2 linked regions of the Sus scrofa genome follow. The protein of the gene in region 1 interacts with the protein of each later gene in a pairwise test. Links are inferred from orthologs where the notes say so. Each region holds a gene or a part of one and is shown in the gene's direction. Other genes may lie near its edges.

Evidence for each region.
Region 2: the proteins of PLD1 (region 1) and PEA15 interact in a two-hybrid assay, tested with the Homo sapiens proteins (2 studies listed by BioGRID). The link is inferred for Sus scrofa from reciprocal best matches to the Homo sapiens genes PLD1 and PEA15.

Annotation. Positions count from the first base shown.
Region 1 is NC_010455.5:110,285,820-110,289,319, reverse strand, and holds part of PLD1 (phospholipase D1), read left to right. Parts: intron 1-128; coding exon 129-274; intron 275-744; coding exon 745-850; intron 851-1,604; coding exon 1,605-1,670; intron 1,671-3,500. UniProt on the Homo sapiens protein: Function as phospholipase selective for phosphatidylcholine. Implicated as a critical step in numerous cellular pathways, including signal transduction, membrane trafficking, and the regulation of mitosis.
Region 2 is NC_010446.5:90,273,343-90,277,286, reverse strand, and holds the start of PEA15 (astrocytic phosphoprotein PEA-15), read left to right. Parts: upstream 1-1,144; 5' UTR 1,145-1,742; intron 1,743-2,950; 5' UTR 2,951-3,281; intron 3,282-3,944. Other genes in the region: CASQ1 (calsequestrin-1 precursor), read left to right, coding at 1-53. UniProt on the Homo sapiens protein: Blocks Ras-mediated inhibition of integrin activation and modulates the ERK MAP kinase cascade. Inhibits RPS6KA3 activities by retaining it in the cytoplasm. Inhibits both TNFRSF6- and TNFRSF1A-mediated CASP8 activity and apoptosis.

The DNA of each region.
Region 1 (3,500 bases):
CAAGTACTTACACAAAATAAATGCACTGGGTTGTAAGGTACTTCCATGTTACTTATTAATTATTGTTCATTGATTTTGGAATTTTTATCGTTATCTCAAATACAAACCATTTTTATTTATCACTGTAGGTACCAAGCATCAATCTTTACACCATTGAATTAACACATGGGGAATTTAAATGGCAAGTTAAGAGGAAGTTCAAGCACTTCCAAGAATTTCACAGAGAGTTGCTCAAGTACAAAGCCTTTATCCGAATCCCCATTCCTACCAGAAGGTAACTGTTTCAGGACTAATTATAAAGTTATCCTGGTATGCGAGTTGGGTGGAAAGAATATTTTGTTCATCTATTGGCTAACTAGTCCATTGTTGATGGATATTGTTTATTAGATAGGCTGTTCTAAAAATAAGCCATCTTGGAGTTCCTATGGTGGCACAGTGGTAACGAACCTGACTAGTATCCATGAGGACACGGGTTCGATCCCTGGCCTTGCTCAGTGGGTTAAAGATCCAGTGTTGCTGTGAGCTGTGGTGTGGGTTGCAGACACGGCTCAGAACTCACGGGGCTGTGGCTGTGGTATAGGCCAGCGGCTACAGCTCTGATTCGACCCCTAGCCTGGGAACTTCTATATGCTGCAAGTGCAGCCCTAAAAAGAAAAAAAAAAAAAGCCATCTCATCAAAGATGTTATGAGAGTCATAGTTTGAAGGATAAGCTAATAAATGTTTGCACTGTGTGTGTGTTTTAGACACACATTTAGAAGACAGAATGTCAAAGAAGAGCCTCGAGAGATGCCCAGTTTGCCCCGTTCATCTGAAAACATGATCCGAGAAGAGCAGTTCTTTGGTAGAAGGGTGAGTCCTTTCACTCTTCTGCTGCTTTGAACGTACCTTCACAGCACACTATAAACATGGCATCTGCTGAGGGGTGGGGTGTGTCTGGATGCACCTTATCTCTCTCGCTTATCCATCACCCAGGCAGGTTTAGCTTCTTCAGAACTAGTTAGGCAATCCTTCTTCCCCAAGCTGCGCTGACCCTGGGGAGGTTGCCTTTCCCCAGAAGAGGTAGAGTTCTATGTCAGGAGTGACTTTGGGAGGAAGCTGCCCTCCCTGCAGAACCCCCTGGAGTTCATTGTGAGTCAAGATTGAGTTCATCCTTGAGGGCCTTGAGATCTATCCTTTTAAAATAATCTACTTCCATACATTTGTTTCAGAATTTGTGGAGGCTTGTCCTAAATGTATGGTCTCATGTCCAGGCTATATTGGGGCAGTTAGGGTCTGAGTGGAGTAGGACAGAGTACAGACACATACGACAGGAAGATAGAGACCTCACGAGCAGGACACTCTGCTTCGGTCTTCAGGGGGTAGAAGGTTAATTTATTTTATTTTTTACCAGAAAATTAACAAGTAAATGTCGGTTCTGTTTTGTAATCTGAAACTTCCATGTTCTGAAAGGGGTGTATTCAGGGTTCCTCGTCCAGTAATAGCATTAACAAATAATTGAAATAGTTTACAGAAGTTAAAATGGAACAAAGATCACATCATTGTTACTGTTTATGTTTTTCTTTAAGTATGATGACATCTCTAATCTTAAATATTCACATTACAGAAACAACTGGAGGATTACTTAACAAAGTTACTAAAAATGCCTATGTATAGAAACTATCATGCAACAGTAAGTACTATTCAGTTATTTAAATTTTGATGTAATTTATAAAATTGTAAAGTGTTGCCTAAATTTTAGATCATTTTATTACCTACAAATACTTGTATCCACTTCTGCATTATTCCTCAGGTTAAACTAAATGAAATGAATACAAAATTGATTTGACAGCAAGAATCTGGTTTATGGGGATACTATTTTAAAAATACCAAATATAACTTATTATGTCTGTAACAATACATGTAAATGAATTTGAAATGCTACTACAGGCTAGATTATCTGGAATTGAATCTCCTTCTTTCCTCAGGCTTCCAGAATAATGCCAAAAAGCATTTGTATTGCTGAATAAAAAACATTGAGTAATAGGTGATGAAAACAGTAGATTGCAATGGAAAAAAATATAAAAAACAATGTATATATGTATATGACTGAGTCACTTTGCTGTACAGCAGAAATTGGCACAACACTGTAAATCAACTATACTTTAATTAAAAATTTAAAATAAAAACAGTTGAGCAGAGCTGAATACCCAGAGATTATCAGGGGCATACTTAAGATTGCCATCTGATTGGCCCATGATGGCTATAAAAGGGCTGTCTTTTCAAGTGAAATTGAGAAGCATGGGAAAAGCTCAGGAGAGAAAACGCTCTTGAGAGTTCAGAGAAAAGAGAGGAGAGGTGGTAGGGCTTAGAAGTATCTGTAGAGGCTAAGTTTGGGAGACAGATAGCTGGCAAGCAGGAGGCAGTGGGCTTTGCAGAAGAAATCAATGAGCTCTGCCCTCTTAGAGGCCCTCGAAATAGGGAAGGGGGTGTTTTTAAAGGGTCAGCCTTCAATTATCTAAAGTTTCAGATAACTGAGAGTGCACTGGGTTATTATATTTTGTGCCTGTGTTTGTTTGTATAAACTGCACTGCTGTGGAGGTTGAACATGGGTATATGGTATGTGTGCAGAACCTCAGAACAGGTGCAGTTAGGATTCAGCCTCTAGTTTAGGGAATGGCATTAGGTAAACACATGAACAGAAAGAGGGAAGCCCTCTGGTTATTTAGGAGAGGAAGCAAGAGTGCCTTGACTCCTGGGAGTTTCTGGGGGGTTTCACTTCCCTATTGCTGCCTGCCAATGTGTTATTTGGAGGCTGGGTGTGGACCAGCTATTCCCCTTTACACACAAATGACCCTGGGGCTCAGCCACAGTACACCTTCTGCAGCCACTTACACTGTGACTTAAACAAGCTTCTGTGGTTTCATAATCCTAGAGAAGAGTTTTCCCAGTAAGACCAGCAATTTGAGTCCAGAGAATCTCAAGAGAAGGCTAATGGAAGGATTTCTTCCTTTCTAGGACTCAGGAATGTGCGTCTTTGAAAGACCACAACAAATAAAGCTATTGCTTCTAGTATTATGAAATCAGACATGGCTGTTTTCTTCAATAGAGAATTATTTAAATCTGTAGTAGTACCAGTATGCAATAATTTTCCATTCGTTTGACTTTTCTGCCTGCCTATGACTTGACTTTAATATTTCCTTTGGCTCTTGAATAGTACTTGCTGAGTCTTTCTATGTACTTTACTATGTTTTGGGGTCTAATGTTGATTTTAAAACTTTTACAGTTTTTCAAAATGTTCACTTTAATTTCTTTTCCAATCAACCTTTTAAAAAGATTTTAAAAGATTTCCAAAATCTTTTAAAAGTTCAGCCATATTGTATTTAGACATTCCAAAGTGTCTTCTAGACATTTCTGCTGGAAGGGGAAGCCTGGTTACAACTGACTATGTTATTTCTCATTTTTAATGGCTACTTATTCTCCCCAACAGCAGAATTCTCCAGAATGCTTCAAGAAAAGGATA
Region 2 (3,944 bases), on another chromosome or scaffold:
ACACAGAGGATGATGACGAAGATGACGATGACGATGATGACGACGACGACTAGGTGCTGGGCAGCCATCGCCCAGCCCCACCTGCCCTCCTCATGCTCCCTCCTGCCCTCCCTGTCCTTCCTTGAGCGCCTCCAGGGACACCAGGTCATCCTCTGGCTTGGGGCCCTTGAAGTCTCTATGTTGGGTGCTGAGATCCAAGGAGCTACCTTTCCCTACACACTGGCCCAGCTCTCTGACTTGTGTTTCCTGTCCCACGATATCCCTGTATCCATTTTTTGTTTCTTCCACCGCCCCCCACATGCGCTTTCTTGCGATTCCCTCTTGCCGCATCTAAGGGCCCTCATCTCTCTTCCGCTCGCTCCCTCCACCTGAGCACATGCTTACCCCACTCTCTCAAATCCTCTATCTTTCTGACTGTCCTCTCCCTGGCCAGGAGGATGGGAGGGTACTGTGTTTGGGGCTGCAGCTCAGCAATCTCTTGTTAATGTATTTGGGTCAAACGAGAGACCTTAATAAAGGATCTGGGGCACCATGAGCAAGTGTCTGCTGATGGGGTCTCACCCTGCGGCAGGAGGGAGGCAGCCAGAGGATGGGGGATGTACGTGTGGGTGCCTTGTTAAGGGACTGTGATCACGGGGTGGGGGGTGGGGGCCTCCTCCTTCCAGGCAGTTATCCCAGAGAAGCCTGGATTATTTATCCGCTGCAAGTCAACAAGCCTTTTCTGAACACATGGTGTTTGTCCAGCACCGCTGTTAGGCTCTGGGAGAACAAAGAGTGCCCGGGCCTGTCCCTGCTCTGGAGCTGATTAGCCTCACTGGGAAGTCAAGACAAGCACCCGAAACAACTGAAGAGAAATACAAAGCAATAGGTAATTAAGTGATTATGTGCTGCTTGATAGCGCCCTCCCTTCAGCTCTTGTTTGAAAGCCAAGACTGAGCCCAAAGAACACTTCCTTGGGGAGGCCTTCTCAGAGGTGGCCCCTCCGGCATCTCCTTCCTCTGGGCTCCCCCTGCACTAACCACCTCTGTTCTAGTGCTCAGCCCACTCCAGCCGAGCTCTTCAATTCCACGACTGTCTCCCCCATCCAGACTGGGAGCTCCTTGAAGGCAGGACTCCAGGCCTTTTCTCTGTGTCCACAGGGCCTGGCACACAAAAAAACGAGTCCCTAGGAGTTCCCGTCATGGCTCAGTGGTTAACGAACCTGACTAGTGTCCACGAGGACACGGGTTTGATCCCTGGCCTTGCTCAGTGGGTTAAGGATCCTGCGTTGCTGTGGCTGTGGTGGTGACCAGCAGCTGTAACTCCGATTGGACCCCTAGCCTGGGAACCTCCATATGCCGCTAGTGCGGCCCTATAAAGACAAAAAAGACAAAAACCAAAACAAACAAACAAACAAAACCCATGTCTTCATCCAGCTTGTACCCATTTAACAAATGTTTAATACACAGTATGGGCACTGAACCAATACAAAAATATGATGGAACTTATTTTTGCACCGATCCGTGGAAGGTCCCACTAAATGGTAGTGCCCATGTTTTAAAAAACACCCATCTGCGCCAGTCACTAGAGACTTACAATTTCTACATCTAAGAAGAACCCTGTGAGATAGGTATCAGTGTCCCCAGCCAGGACACTGAGGCTCAGAGGCATAACCTGCCCCAGAAAGGAGTAGAGCCAGCGTGAAGCCCAAGTCCCTTCTACCTGGCTGCCTCTGGAAGACCTGGACCCTTCACTGACTGTAGGTAAGTCATTTAGTTTCTCTGAGTCTCAAAGATGGGTCAGCAATATCGGTTTCACCCCTACAACACAGAACAAATGAGGTCTAGGCAGAGGCACATTGTGAGGGTGTGTCACTATCCAAAGGTCAGTGACAGGGCACTTTGGGGGAGAGGATGGTGAAAGGAAAGAAAGGAGGAACTCAGAGTTCCCGTCATGGTGAAGTGGAAATGAATCCGACTAGGAACCATGTGGTTGCAGGTTCAATCCCTGGCCTCGCTCAGTGGGTTAAGGATCCAGCATTGCTGTGAGCTGTGGTGTAGGTCACAGACGAGGCTCGGATCTGGCGTTGCTGTGGCCCTGCAATAGGCTGGCAGCTATAGCTCCGATGAAACCCCTAGCCTGGGAACCTCCATATGCAGCAGGTGCAGCCCTAAAAAGCAAAAAAAAAAAAAAAAAAAAAAAAAAAAAAGGAGGAACTCACCTGAGGCTTCCTCTGGGTCTCTGCCAGGCTGTAGCTGGAAGTGGCACAGACACTGACGGGGCTCAGACCTCTTCCCCCGCCACACTCTGCCAGAGTTGAGGAGAGACCCCTTAGGCTGGAAATGAAAACAGATGCTTTACCACTTCTTCCTTCCCTCTTTCAGTCTGGCTGAGAATCTGGGGGAGGAAAGTCCCTGGGGTGGAGGGGAAGTGAGAGCTGCCATGCTGGGCCTGGGCAGAGGGGCAGAGTTGGGAAACAGAGCTAAGCGTGGCATTGCAAGTTGTCTATATTTGCATGCTGAGCTCACTGCTGCTCTTTTTCTCCCCAGAAAAATAAAATTACATCATGGTGGGGGGAAGGCAGAGGGGTGGTATATTTGGGAAAGGTAAGAGGACCACAAGAGGCCGGCTGGCATCACCCTGGAGAGAGGTCTGTGGCTCCAGGGCAAGTGAGGAGGTCCCTGTGTTGCTTCTTGCCCCCAACGCTTCCTCCAGCCCCCACCTTCCAAGGTAGATAAAACTGAGCGGTCATTATGGCTCCCCTGACCCAGAAGGGGAAGAAAAAGGTTTTTCCACATACTAAGCCAGGCAGCTAAGAGGATCCTGAGGCCAAAGGCCTTCCCAGCCCTTAAACTCTAACTTACTCTTCGCCTCCCAGGGTCCCAGCCATTGTGGTCATTGAAAGGTCGTAAGGGGAAGGGTGTGTTCCACTGGGAAGAATTACATCTGAGAACTGGGTTTCGCTCTTTAGGGTGAGAGGCGGCGGCGCTCCTCCAGCCCTCCCCCACTTCTGCCCCCAGCCCGGGAGTCTTCCAGAACCCCAGCCCCCTGCTGCCTCCCCTCCCCCCACTCCCGCCGCTCCCCGCCCCCCGCCCCTCCCCGGCTCTGACATCACTGGCCAGCCGGGTGGGGTGAGGCGGCGCTGGGCTCGGGCTCCGCGGGCGGAAGAGGCGGCGGCGACAGCAGAAGCGGCGGCGTCGGCGGCGGCGGTGGCGGCGGGAGCCGAGGAGGAGGCTCCGGACGCTGCTCAGGAACCGGGGACGCCGGAGTGCCCGCTCCCCGAGCGCTCAGCCCCAGAGGCGGTGAGAGGGCCGAGAGGAGACGTGTCTCGGGGAGGGACAGATTTGGGGTCTGGGCTTGGAGGGGCGGCGATCCGGGACGCCCCCGGGGGCAGATGCCGAGCGTGGGGGCCCCGGACGGGTGCGCTCTGTGTCGGGCCCCACGGGCTCGGTCTCTGTCGGTGCGCCCCGAGCGCGGAGTGTCTGCTGGAGGCGGCGTGGCTCCGGCCGCCCATTCCACGCTGAACCGCAGTTGGGGAGTCGGACCGGGGCCTGGGGATTAGGATGGAGCCTGCTTCCCGCCCAGCCGGCTCGGCCGGGCCAGCTCCCACCCCTCCCTCCCCTTCTCTGGCTCCGGGCTCGCCGCGGTTGGCGGTCTCCTGGCCCGGCCCAGCCTCAGTTCCGCGGCAGCCGCCCCTGCTCCGAGGGCTCAAACCTGGCGGCTGGCACCACGTGCCCTCACCCAGCCCTCTGCACCTGGGGAGGAGGTGGGATTGTTCAAGGCTTGTCCAGAGGGAAGGAGTTGGGAGCTGGGGAGTTAAGTAGCTAACGTCAAACCCCTAATTAATATAATCCGTGTCAAAAATGACAGGGACACACACACCTACGAGAGACACGCCAGCACACACGGTGACACACACCCATGTGACTCTTACACACATCGACTGCACACAGCAAATCACAAAC